Arabidopsis thaliana: one gene and its partners. The protein of the gene in region 1 interacts with the protein of each later gene in a pairwise test. Each region holds a gene or a part of one and is shown on either strand. Other genes may lie near its edges.

Region 1 (4,286 bases):
TAGGATATCTACAAAAACGATTGAAATGGTTATCAATGAAGCAATGAGGAGCAGAAAGAAAGTGTCTTACAAACAACAAACTTACGGATGAAGGAAATGCTCAAAGAGCCAAGCTCGAAGTATAGAGACAGAGTTTTCAGGTAAGCCTCTTTGTGGTCTCCAAGCTGGTCTAACCATTCCAAGTTGTTGATGCAAAGCTCTCTGTTGTCTCAACCGTTGATCTAAGTACCTAAGACGCGGTATCCTCTCTCCTTGTTCATCAGAAGTCTCTCTCTCCCCAAGCTTCCCTCTGATCACCTGAATCTGTTCTTTTATCGCGTCGCGTAAACAGCGGAAATGGCGAGAGATTCTATTCAGAGCTACGGATGTGTAAGGCTTAGCTGCTCCAAGACCTGTTACCATCTCGAAAGACGATGCTAAAGCTTCCATTTGATGATGGTATTGGTTATACCTTTTATCTACCTGCAAAAATGTTTTCAAAACTCAAAACTCCAAAGTCTCTCTCTCACTTTAAAGTATTCAAATTTGATTTAGTCTTACCTCATCCACCATTGTTAAAAGCTTGCTCTTCTTGCTCTGTAGCTCCTGACGTTCTGAAGGAGACAACTCCTGCGATTGAGATTTATCATCTTCTGTAATGTTATCACTAGACCCATTGTGAAAGTCTTGACCTTTATCATTCTTCATCTTCTTATTCCCCAATTTCAAATCTTTCCTTACACTAACAACTTCATCAAGCAATTGTTGTGTTGGTTTAAGGTAACGAGATCTCAGTACACTACTCACAAACCCTGATGTCTCGTAACGGTAATTGTTGTAGAATCCAACACCATTATTACCATTGTTGTTGTAAACAGAGGAAGGTAAAATTTGATCAGAGTGATGCTGATGAACACTCAAGCTCTTCCCATTCTCATCAGACATAGTAGAAGGATTAAGATTATTGTAACTCAATTGGTTCGAAAGATTCTGGTAATGATACTGAAACGGAGAAACAGAGACAGCTGACTGGATCTGATTACCAAGACTTAAAGAAAGTCCTCCACCGTGAAAGCTTAGATCGTTACTTGACACCGTTACGTTTCCGTTGACGGCTACGTCGCTTGTTGGTGGGATAAATACCATCTCGTTGTTTCGAACATCACCGGAAACAATCTCGGAGAAAGATGCAGCAGAGGAAGAAGAAGCTTGTTGTTGTTGTTGTTGTTGTTCGTTGAGGTAAATGGATTCTTGGTAAAGAGATTGCATGCCGACACTATTAGGGTAATACACAGCCATTGGATAATAAATCGAAAGTGTTTTGTTGTTTAAGTGAGTTTCATCCGATTGATGTTTTGTCTGAAAAAAGAGAAAGAGAGAGAGAGAGACGTGTGAGTTTGAAACTGAAACTGGATAAATAAAAGAACAATTCTTTAAAGAGGTTAAAACATCTTAATCTCTATATACGCCGCAATTACAGATGAATTCAAGAAATGAAAAAAATATGAAATACTCAATTTAGGTCAAGAAGATATCAAAACCCTAGGTAAAGTTTCCACTTCAATTCAGTGACGCAAACAAAAACAGAGGATGATGTTTGAAATCATGAAAGATATAAAGTTAATTTTTTTTAAGTTCTGATGATTTCATACTTTTGTAAGAATTTAACAGAGACGAAGATGATGATAAAATTCGAAAAAGGAAATCTTTTTGTAAAAAGAGAAACAGAGTACAACAAGTCAATCATATAGCTTTGAATCAAGAAGCTACTAATAAGAACAATCGAATTATTATAGTTAAAGAAATGAAACCTGAGAAAGAGCTAGATGATAAACTATACAAAAGAGAAAGAGAGATTGTGGATGTGGCTGAATCAGGGAACAGAGAGATAAAAAGGGAGAAGAAGAAGAACTTCGAACAGTCGATGACAAAAAGAGAGAGAAAGAAAGAGAAGACACCCAATCCCAAGAGACGATTTTTATTAAATTCCGATACTATTTTAAAACTTTATTTGGCATTCACTAACAAAGAACAGAACCAAACCATCTTATCATTGGAACCTCGACAACAAACCCAGATTTTTTAATTAATGTTTAATAAAATATCAGTGTATCACTAACCTATGGAGAAATTTGACAATCTCTATTCTCTACCAGTAATTCTTTTTTGTTTGTTTTTCTATTCCAACCGAAGCTTCTATATTAAAATTAATAATTTTTTGTTGGTTTTTTTTCTGTGCCAACCATTTAGAGAATAACACGCGTGAGCGGAAATTTTCATATTTTTTTTCCTTTTCTCTGATAGGATTATTGTTAGATAATGGAGAATATTTATACAAATGCGACTTTTTATATGCATTTATATTTCAAGTTATCTGATAAAACAAAAGAATATTATTGGAACCAGAAGGAATACTGTGCAGTGTTGTCATTGACTTGACTTGGTGCTTATATTCAAATAAATATAATTAAAAATAAAGTATGTTTTTTAAAATGAAGAAAAGAGTTGAGTTTTCGTATTCTATGTTTTTATAAAGTTTAATTAATAGCTTGGACATAAATTCAAGCAACCGTTGAAATTTTTTACTATTAAAATTTTCCACCAAAGCTTTGTTAGATTAAATTAACTCAAGCAATCTCAAATTAGTTGTGGTTGTGATGATAAAATCATGGGTTAGTCTGAACCAACAGATGCTTTTATTAATTTCTTTACATAATTGCAGATCCCTGGTTATAAGCGAACGAGAAACATGTGTTACGTGACATGATACTTCATAACTAATCTATGATGTTTTGATGTATAATTGTTAAATTATTATAACGACGGAACTCTCTAAAAAGATTGTGATCAAAATTAAAATTAAACATCTTTTGAGGTCTCCTACTGTTTATACGTTATATACTTGTTTCTTCGCGTAATACATTGGACACACATACTCTTATTAAGTGACGTGCAAAAGAGGAAACTAATTAACTCCATTTTTTCAATATCTTCCTATTATTTACATATTAAAAATAAAGATATAAGTAGAATTGTCAACAAATCAATATATTGAATATAAAGTAATTAAAATTACTAAAGTATCCCTAGGCCTAGAGAATTTTGATTTGCCAGAAATGTTGCTTTGAGGAAGAAGTGTTGTGTCTGCTCAATTGCTTAATTGAGGGATTAAAGGACCTTAACAACCAGTTGGTGACTACCCAATTTCCTTACTTGGAACGAAAAAATCCAATTAGTTGACTAACAAATAAACATATTTTCTTAAATAATCAAGTGATTCATTTGACCTACATGAAGAAAATGTATTTATACGCAAAACAATAAAATGAAAAGAAAAGTTATGATGGGTCGATTCCATGTCCCAAAGGATCTAAGGAGGTTGTGTAATAAATAATAGAAAAAGTAGAATTCGAAAGAAGATGATGAAAAATGAAATAAATAAGGTAGCTGTGTCGGACGCGAAGTTGGTGAAAGTGGCCAAAAACGAAAGACTTGGACGCCAATTTGTTTCGTAGAGACGTTCCTTAACGGAACGAAGCTAACGGCTTTGTGTCCATCTTAATAAATGTTATTCTTATTTCAATTTCTGTATATTTCGTTTATTTCTTTTATTCTTTAATGTTTTTTTTTGTTTTTGGTTGAGTTTCGGTTTTGTCATAGATTGGAACAGCCGACACAAACCTTTCAAGGAGAATCAATGTGTTACAACAAATTCTTTTTTTATGAAATTTTATATATTTATGAGTAGATTATTTGTTTGTTTTTAAATGTACAACTGATAAACCCTACACACAGCTGGTTGAATATGGGAGTATATACAGTGGGAAAGTTTGAAAGGATCAAATATTTTTAACTTTCTAAAATAGGTTAAATGAATGTGGTTTTCTAAAGCTATTTATGATGAGTATTCTTATGAATAATAATATTATACATATCGTGAGTATATAATTTGAAGAAGATGATGAATCGATGATGAGTGATGATGATAGTGCTAAATGAGGAAATGACGAGTAAGAAATCAACAGCTTTTGTTTGGACAAAAAGCTTTTTGTACACCTAGCTATATGGTATGACAGCTAATAATAATTAATATCCTTAAGATATAATTAATCGCAGTTGTTAATCATAAATAGTCGGACCGTTTAACCACATGAGTTTTTCCTATTTTCAAGAGCAATCTGGTTAAACTACATGTAAATGGCAACAAAGTAAGAGTTTATGGTACGGTTAATTAGATGTTCCCAGGTAAATAGTAATACTACAGTTCACAGATTAATATGAGTTTTGCGTTACACTCAAGTCTCTAT
Region 2 (4,286 bases), on another chromosome or scaffold:
TTTAATGCGTTCTTGAAGAGATCAGTGTGAGTTAGATCTTGAGTGGTTAAGATCTCTTGTCGGGTTTTATGAGATAAGTTCAATTCCATTTCCGCTCCTGTGTTTTAAGGAATTACTAGTTAGATTTATAGAGAGAACACACGAGACAGGTCTATAAAGAAGAGGGAAGATGGATATGTAATTAACCTGCGACGATGAACTTCTCCATGATATGTCGAGCCATGTAGATTCTTCTTATCGAATCATCTTCCGGGATTTTACCATGTTCATACACCTCTTCAAAAAAATGCAATGTTTCTCCAGCGTAGCAGCTACCAGCATATAACGAATTAGTTTAAATAAATGGTGAAACCGGGATATATATGAGGTCAGGTATTGAATGGAGTACCTATCAGCAAATTCCATAAACGAATGGCGAAATCTTTTATTGAGAAGAAGCTTATCGAGTGGCTCGTTTGGGTCAACAGGTCGAAACTCCTCCTTCCGAAATAATAATCCGCTATCGGGAATGCCTAGAGCTTGACCCATTCTTTGAAACTCAAAGTTTTGTCTTTTCTTCAAGCTGATTTGTGAAAGAAGAGGTTGGTTACTCGAGATGGAAAAGAAGACAACGACGAGAATCCCACCCTGAAAGAAGAATCAACTCAGAAGTCTGTTAAAAAGGTATTCCAACTGCAAATATAAAGAACAGTCCTGGTATTAGCTTTCATACCGTGACTAAAAGCACAAATCTTGAAGCAACCTGAAGCCAAGAGATTTCTTCATGAATCTCATTCAACACAAACGCTGTTACCCATATAACGATTGAAGTGGCTGAGACGAGAATTCCTTTCCAGAGATCTCTAAGCTCGTCAAAACGAAACTCTACATGTCGAACTGCTCTTGTGAATGCAATTAAAGCAAGGACATAGAGAGCATGAAGGCCTGCAACTGGGAAAGTCCATTGAAGACCCATGTGGCATTTATCGTTGAGAGGCTTTGTTGCGTGGATAACTAAATGCAAAATCAAAAGCTTTGAGTTATTATTATCCAAAACAAGAGAAACCAAGAACTGCTCAGTACATATAACGTTCAGAACAATTCTTACTTGCAGCTCCGAAGATCCATGGCAACAAAACAAGGGGGAGGAAAATGTATGATTTTACCGGAGGTAGACGTTTCCTACATTGCAAAGAATATGTAACAACCAAACAGCATTAAACTCAATTACACCAATAGAGATAGAATTGGAATCCAAAAACATTTTGATCAACATTGAACCTCACTTGACAAATATGAAGTATAGTTGAAATGCCTGAGTTATACGGCAGCTCATCAACAAACCAAACCCAAGTGGTCCTTCAATCCACACTGAAACCAAATTATACAAGACTTATTGATATAACTGTCAATTTGTTTACGAAGATGAGGAATCATGGTTTCCAAACAAACCTGCCCAAAGATAGCAATATCGCCACCAATGTTTCGTCCTGAATCGAAGCAAATTAACTGACATCTGAAAATTAAATATAAAACAGTCTATTAGTGTAGAAACTCAACAAATGAAGTGATTCTTAAGAGCAACGGAATCATCAAGTCAAGTAGTCTAACCATAATTGAGAAGAGAAGGTTGAAGCTGGAGATAACTTGAATAACAGGGATCCAGAAACTGCTACTGTTAGTACGAGGAGCCTTATGAATCAAACACGGTAACACTGAGCGCGATAACAGCCTAAATAAACAAAGTGAAATCCATCAGATAGAATCAACTTAATAGAGAAATTGAACTACTTGGAAGTTAACTCATGATACAAATCCACTCAATTAGTCCATTAAATCAAGCTTTTGAACTTCAAATCTAAGTTCAATAATCGATTCCGACATAATATATGAATCTTGCTATCAAGATACTGAAACCATCTAATTCCCAGCTAAAAGAAACTGAAACGAAACAAAAGACAGATCTTTTGATACATAACATCAAACACTTACAATACAAAGAGTTAAAATAGCAAAGAGAGACATCGTATGAAAATTTTAAACGATTAAAGACACAAAATTCGAGATTTTGACTCAAGTCAAGAGTCAACAAGCAAACCCAGTAAATGAAAAATCTAGATCTTCAAAACTAAAACCCAAAAATGGGATTTTTAAGCTCGAACACATACACGAAGAAGCAGATGACTGAAATTGCGACGGCGACGTAATCGCTGGGACAACCACCATGTAGAGCACATCCACTCGCCATTTCTATTGTAGCATATCAGCTCTCTCTTCTCCACTCGCTTTCTGGGTTTTTGAGATTTTATTTGGTTTCAAAGCTTGTTGCTTTAATGTCAAGGTAAAGTGTGCAAATTTCTATAAATTCAATAAAAGAAACTTCATTTATCGATGTTGAAACAAAAAGCTTTAAAAGATTCACACTTTCGCATAAGAGAAGAGACGTCTCTGTCTCTTCATTGTTCACGTTTCTCTCTTCTTCTCTGACTTTTTTGACCAGAAGACACTTCCTTTTTCCGGTAACAATTCTGATTGGTTTTTCACTTTTCACTTCTATAATTATAGATTTTTCATACTTGTCCTTTGTGACAAGTTGGTACATTAAAATTACAATAACCACCCTCTATTATAGATTTTTGACATAACCACCCTATACTATTGAGAGATTTCACAAACCCACCCATTAAAATTGTATACTTTTTTAATTCAACCCTGTTGTAAATTTTGTTTATTTCACTCCAATGACTTGATCTTGGAACTATATCGCCACAACAGACCTCCCACCAAATTGTTGAGTGCGTGCGAGGCCATTGGAACGATAAGACTCGACGACAAAACAGCTGCATAACCGTAGACTATACCGACAATCGAAGCCCTGAAAATTTCAAGAAACCGCAAAGAATTCAATAGGAAAACCTCGGAAATGTGATAGAGAGATGCAAGAACATGTTAAAGGCAATCATCTAATATCAAGATTCGGTCTACGCAATTCTCATCAGCATTGAGGTACCAAAATGTTCAGTAAAAACGGCTTACCAAACTGCAAAAGAATACTTTCTTCCGCTCCCGAGATGAAGTAAACCGAAAATGAGGCCAACCGCTACAATACCATTCCAATTAGTTCCGAACAAAGGCATTAATGCACCTCTAAACAGCAGCTCCTGTGAATACACCAAATCAAACCAATGAACGACATTTTCTAAAGGAGAGCCTTTCTGTGTTTTATTGTGATTGTTTATTGTTACCTCACTTATTCCCGGTAACATTGCAACAACAAGGTAATCTAGAGGTTCGAGGGAAGTGAGAATCTGCAAGTAGTGAATACCAAAGGAGACAATAAGCGGAGTTTAAAGAATCGTATAAATGTATATAATGTGTAATGTTTTGACCTGTCGGTTTGCTGCTTCACTAGAATCAGCAAAATCTGGCCAAGATTTAAGTAGCAAGAACCTACTTGACGATATAAACACAACGATTCCAGCAATTAAACCGAGATGCCAAGTTTCAAACCCAACTGCAAGAAAGATCATGCAATACAAAACATGTTTTGGTTACTGAATCTCTCAAAGGATTCTTAGTACACAACATAATCGTTTTCCGAGATGTTACATGGTACATCTATAGAGCAGTCTGGAACCAGTAATCCTTCAGTCGAAGCAACATGAGACGCCTGCAAGCGGTAACCAAATCAGCAAGATACAAATGCTAGAATCACAAAATCATAAACTTTCAGATTTGGGATTCACCTTTCTGATGATCAGACCTAGTGCAGCCATCAAACCGGAAGTTACAGTGCAAGCCTGAAGCACTTTGTCTCGAGGAGCAGCAACAAAAACATCAATGGAGTCCTTTGAAGTTGAAGAATCAACTTGAGCTTCCTCAAATCTTGGAGAAGAAACTTCTTCATCTGTAACATTTCTTAAGCCTATGTCTTTACCTTGTTGTGACTCTCTTTTGAGTTTCTTAAGTGATTTACGACTTGAAGAGGCTCTTACATCAAACTTAAAACCCAAAAGACAAAATAAACAGACTATAGTATAAGAGATCATCTGTTCGGACCAAGAAGCGGCAACATTAAAGAATCTTACTTGTACTCTTCGAGCATCATATAGCTTAGGGTTCGAGCCAACTGATCATCAAGTAAGCAAATTTCAACCAAAAATCTTTGTCGAATTCTCATATATATGATCATATCAAGTTAGGAATCGCACTTACCTACCTGGACGAAAAAGGAGATGAAGAGAAGTTGAAGCTCCTCTGCTCCAAGATTGCAGAGCGATGGAACCCATCCGAGATTTTCGCCTGCC
Region 3 (4,286 bases), about 19 Mb from region 1:
TATGAAACTTATAGGGCTTTTACTTTCACCTGTTGTATCTTCATGATCAGGTGCAGTGCCGGTTTCATGGTTCATGTGGACAAGATTGTGGTGATCACTTTCATATCCATGTGTTTCCTGTTCAAAACTCACTAACAATATTAGATGAATGCAAGAGAAAGAAATGATTCTGCAAAGATATGTTTATTGTTGGAGTACAATGCGCAACCAAATATATGTACCTGCCGTTTTAATCCTCCACTCAATAGCGACATTGAGGAAATGTTCGGTTGCATGAATCCTGTTTGAGAGAGATACGATACAGGAGGATAAAGCATCGACATGTTGTGGGGAAATGTCGGTGCAGATGATTGAAGAGCCTGCATGAATATATAGAAGACATCAACATCATATCAATGAAGTTACTCGTCAAATGATAAGAAAGAGAAGGGTTTCAACATATGTTACATCTTTTGCAAGGAGGCTTTCGAGGTTAAAATCGAGCACAGGATTCACAGCCGAAAGTTTCATCGATAAAAACTGAAATGCATGGAAGAAGTAACTAACACAAAGTGAGGTTGCTAATTAAATGAAGTCTCAAGAACAGACACTAAGAAAATAGGAAATTCCCAAAGCAAACAAAGGGAAACCTCGATTTGGCATTGAAGTGATTGCACATAGTTAATGATTTCATCGAGCATAACTGCCTTACCAGTCACCTACACAATAAATGCAATGTCCCATTTATATGAAAAGAAAACAGCTTCAGCTTCCATTCTTCTACATGTAGACATCAACATCTAAAAAGAAAAGGACTTACCTTGTCGCAACCTGGCACAAGATCTTGCAAGAACTTCATCCTTTCACTGATTTTTTCTCTTCTTACCTACGATAACAAGTTTAACCAAATTCAAATACAACAACAAAAGAAATTTGCTTTCTATTCAACTTCAAAAAAATATTGTTCCTACTCTTTCAGCAAGACTGTGACTATTAGTAGCCTGGCCTCTTCGTGCCCTCATGTGAATATACCCATCCTTTAAAGAATCAGAAGGTTGCTTCTCACTGTTTGTCTTGTTCGCATTTGAAGTTGGACTTTGCTCATCCTTTTGCTTTTTATCTTCTTCTTCTTCACAATCCTACCAACAGAAATATTATCAACGAAAGACCAAAAAACACAAAATACAAAAGGAGTGCTACAAATCTCTATACCTTCCCAATTCTTTTCCTCTTCTTACTACTAAACCCCTTGGAAGATGTTTGCCCACACTTAGCATCATCATGACCATTACCTCCACTAGATTGAGAATCCTCTGATACATTATTAATCGATCTCTCTTTCACTAACTTAGATGCATCAGTAAGAGGACCATTATCTAGTTTGGATCCACTAGGAATCTGTGTATCTTGAAGAAACAAGCCAGTTGAATCTGGAACTCCAAGAGATGATTGTTGTTGGTTCATCATCATTTCACCACATCCAAAAAAAGAAAACTTTGCAGCACGCTCAATGAATCCTGAATCTGCAGGGAACTGAGCCATATTCCAACCCATTTCAAGAGGTATATCAATATTATTATTACCTCTAAAGGAAGTGTCTGCATCTGTGTGGACATTGAAACCACCATCATGCCAAAGAGTTTCTCTGAATGAATCCATCATCGGAGAAGGACCCAACATTGGATTCTCCGGAGGATACAAATCCACTGGCGTATTGACCAAATCCTTCTTCTTTGCGGCAAACTCGTCTTTGTCACTCATTCTCTTAAAAGTAGTAAAGCCCCAATTTTGATCACATGAAACTCAACTTTCTACACAAGAACTGAGGAATTGAAGTAAACACACGAGCAAATCAGAGAAAAGTTGAGAATAAAAGAGTAGAATCAGTCAACGGTAGATAAAGGAGCATACTTTAAGTACAAACAAACCTTAATTCAGAGAAAAAGATAAAGAAAACATTGAGTCATGTTTTTCAAAAGAGAATCATTATTCGTGGTAAAAAGTGTCAGAATTTCAGATTCTGTGCCACTTTCTCTCTACGAGTTTTCAAATATCTTTTCCTTTCAAATTTTCTTACCAAAAAGCTTTATTGAACTGGGTTCTGTTTCTGCTGCAATAAAGAGAAGAGCGTTGATGGTCTTTTTAGAGATGGAGAGTTAAAAACGAGTTTAAGAAGAATGAAAAAAAAAAAGTTCCTGAATTCATATACCCACGCTTGCATTAAAAACAGAGCTTATGATCATTAAACATAAACATTAAACACAGCCATGATCTGAACATTAAAAATGTTAGGGTGTTTTGAGAAATGGTCAAATGCAAAACTAAGGATTTCATACAAAAGAAGCCTAACAAATCCGATGAAATTAACGTCTCAAATAAAAAATGAAGACATTAATCTCAATTCTTAGAGATTTTTGGCTAGTGAGTAGTGTCATAGGTCCAAATTTTGGAATTCTAAAAGAGTAATTTACATGCATGCCCATCCAAAGATAGCACAACTCGTGTAATTGTCGAGCTAGCTCCTATGAAAGTAAAAGAATCATTTTAGATTAGATCAACTTAATATGTGCTTAGAAAAATGTTGTATGTTTTATCACGATTTACCTATCAACCCAATATCAAGCTGTAATCGTTTTTTTTTTTGACACCACTTAAATTGTTAAACTATTATGCAAAAGTGAAGGAGGGAGCTGCTGGACGGTCCGGTGAGCACGAGGGCCGAGGACATAATTAGTTGGCCTTGGGACTTTCAATTGCTAAAGACCTAAATAAATATTTTAAGAATATTCAACCCACACCTTTTACTTTTATCATTTCTTCCTAGATTTTTGTGTGTGATTTTAGGTCGTGTGATTCTCAAAACTGGTGAGTTGTGGTGCCCGTCCTGAAGACAAGCCCACCTAAACAGTGGTTTTGGATGTGTTTTTTTTTCTCCCATACCTTTGTTTTTTTTTTATAACATTTTCTAGTTAAACAAAAATTATGGATCTATTGTCTTGTATGGAAACTAAGCTATGATAAATTTATAATGTTTTTCAGTCATATTTTGGCGTTGGTGTTCGAATTCGTGACTTTGAAAATATTTTAATATCCATTTAAGGATGATCAACTTAGAATACCAATTTGAGAACCATCCATGCCGGATCAAAAATGTTAATTGCATGCCCCTAGACTAAGTCTATACATATATTAAAATATATAATTAGGAAATTTTCGCTTTATATTCTTGTTGAAATGAATCAATCAATCCTCGTATTGACCTTTACAATACATGTACTAATTAAGATAGAAACTAAGATATACTAAAGCTTTCAAGTTTCAGTTTCCATATAAATTTCGGCCATATATAACAATTTAAACTAGTTTTATTACAGTCGGTATTCAAATCCATCATACCGCTAACTTTAAATGTTCTTAGATATAAACGGTTGAGCTACTGACTCTTGAAACTTCCATATGATCTTTACTACAACGTTTGTTCAATATATTTACCCGATCGTCTAAAAAATATTGAATTTATTCAACAGTTATAAATGGAAGACAAAACATTGGTCTTTTCAAAGGAAAAACAACATCAAAAGCAAAAAGCCAAAGCGAAAATGCACATAGATATTTAAGTACACACATAATTCCATTTCTTATAATGACAACGTCTCGAAAGGGAAAGCTTTTAAACCGTGTGGATACACTTATTAAATACACTCTTACTTTGAGTCTCGCTTCATCATGTATGTAAATGGTTAGTATAGTGGTGGAGAGGGAGAGCTATAGTAAGGCGGTGGTGATGGCGAACTATAGACATATGGAGGAGGCTTGTAAACATATGGAGCCGGCGGTGGAGAGTAGCTATAGACATATGGAGGAGGCTTGTAAACATATGGAGCCGGCGGTGGAGAGTAGCTATAGACATATGGGGGAGGTTTGTAAACATATGGAGCTGGCGGTGGAGAGTAGTTATAGACATATGGAGGAGGCTTGTAAACATATGGAGGAGGCTTATAAACATATGGAGCCGGTGGTGGTGAGTAGCTATCGACGTATGGAGGTGGTGGAGGAGACTTGTAAACATATGGAGGAGGTGGTGGTGAAGTATAGACATAAGGAGGTGGTGGAGGAGACTTATATACATATGGAGGAGGCGGTGGCGAGCTGTAAACATATGGAGGTGGTGGTGGCGAGCTATATACGTAGGGAGGTGGTGGAGGCGAGCTATAGACGTAGGGAGGTGGTGGAGGAGATTTGTAAACATAAGGAGGTGGTGGTGGTGAGCTGTACACATAAGGAGGCGGTGGTGGAGATTTGTAGAC

The links.
Region 2: the proteins of BLH3 (region 1) and RGS1 interact in a two-hybrid assay, tested with the Arabidopsis thaliana proteins (one large-scale study listed by BioGRID).
Region 3: the proteins of BLH3 (region 1) and CIB5 interact in a two-hybrid assay, tested with the Arabidopsis thaliana proteins (one large-scale study listed by BioGRID).

The regions. Positions count from the first base shown.
Region 1 is NC_003070.9:28,300,613-28,304,898, forward strand, and holds the start of BLH3 (BEL1-like homeodomain 3), read right to left. Parts: upstream 2,117-4,286; 5' UTR 1,791-2,116; exon of another isoform or gene 1,339-1,790; 5' UTR 1,279-1,338; coding exon 541-1,278; intron 463-540; coding exon 86-462; intron 9-85; coding exon 1-8. UniProt on the Arabidopsis thaliana protein: Transcription factor that is responsive of the nuclear import of SHOOT MERISTEMLESS (STM).
Region 2 is NC_003074.8:9,530,824-9,535,109, reverse strand, and holds the start of RGS1 (REGULATOR OF G-PROTEIN SIGNALING 1), read right to left. Parts: upstream 2,498-4,286; 5' UTR 2,228-2,497; coding exon 2,148-2,227; intron 1,712-2,147; coding exon 1,591-1,711; intron 1,496-1,590; coding exon 1,432-1,495; intron 1,351-1,431; coding exon 1,266-1,350; intron 1,162-1,265; coding exon 1,088-1,161; intron 994-1,087; coding exon 713-993; intron 628-712; coding exon 389-627; intron 312-388; coding exon 187-311; intron 98-186; coding exon 1-97. Other genes in the region: AT3G26085 (CAAX amino terminal protease family protein), read right to left, coding at 2,713-2,854, 3,016-3,140, 3,225-3,287, 3,369-3,493, 3,589-3,649, 3,726-4,108, 4,199-4,268.
Region 3 is NC_003070.9:9,084,668-9,088,953, reverse strand, and holds the start of CIB5 (cryptochrome-interacting basic-helix-loop-helix 5), read right to left. Parts: upstream 2,151-4,286; 5' UTR 1,741-2,150; coding exon 1,192-1,740; intron 1,119-1,191; coding exon 951-1,118; intron 866-950; coding exon 800-865; intron 699-799; coding exon 630-698; intron 520-629; coding exon 448-519; intron 360-447; coding exon 222-359; intron 118-221; coding exon 30-117; coding exon of another isoform or gene 1-29. Other genes in the region: AT1G26255 (uncharacterized protein), read left to right, coding at 3,716-3,833, 3,888-4,286; AT1G26250 (Proline-rich extensin-like family protein), read right to left, coding at 3,720-4,286. UniProt on the Arabidopsis thaliana protein: Transcriptional activator involved in cell elongation. Regulates the expression of a subset of genes involved in cell expansion by binding to the G-box motif.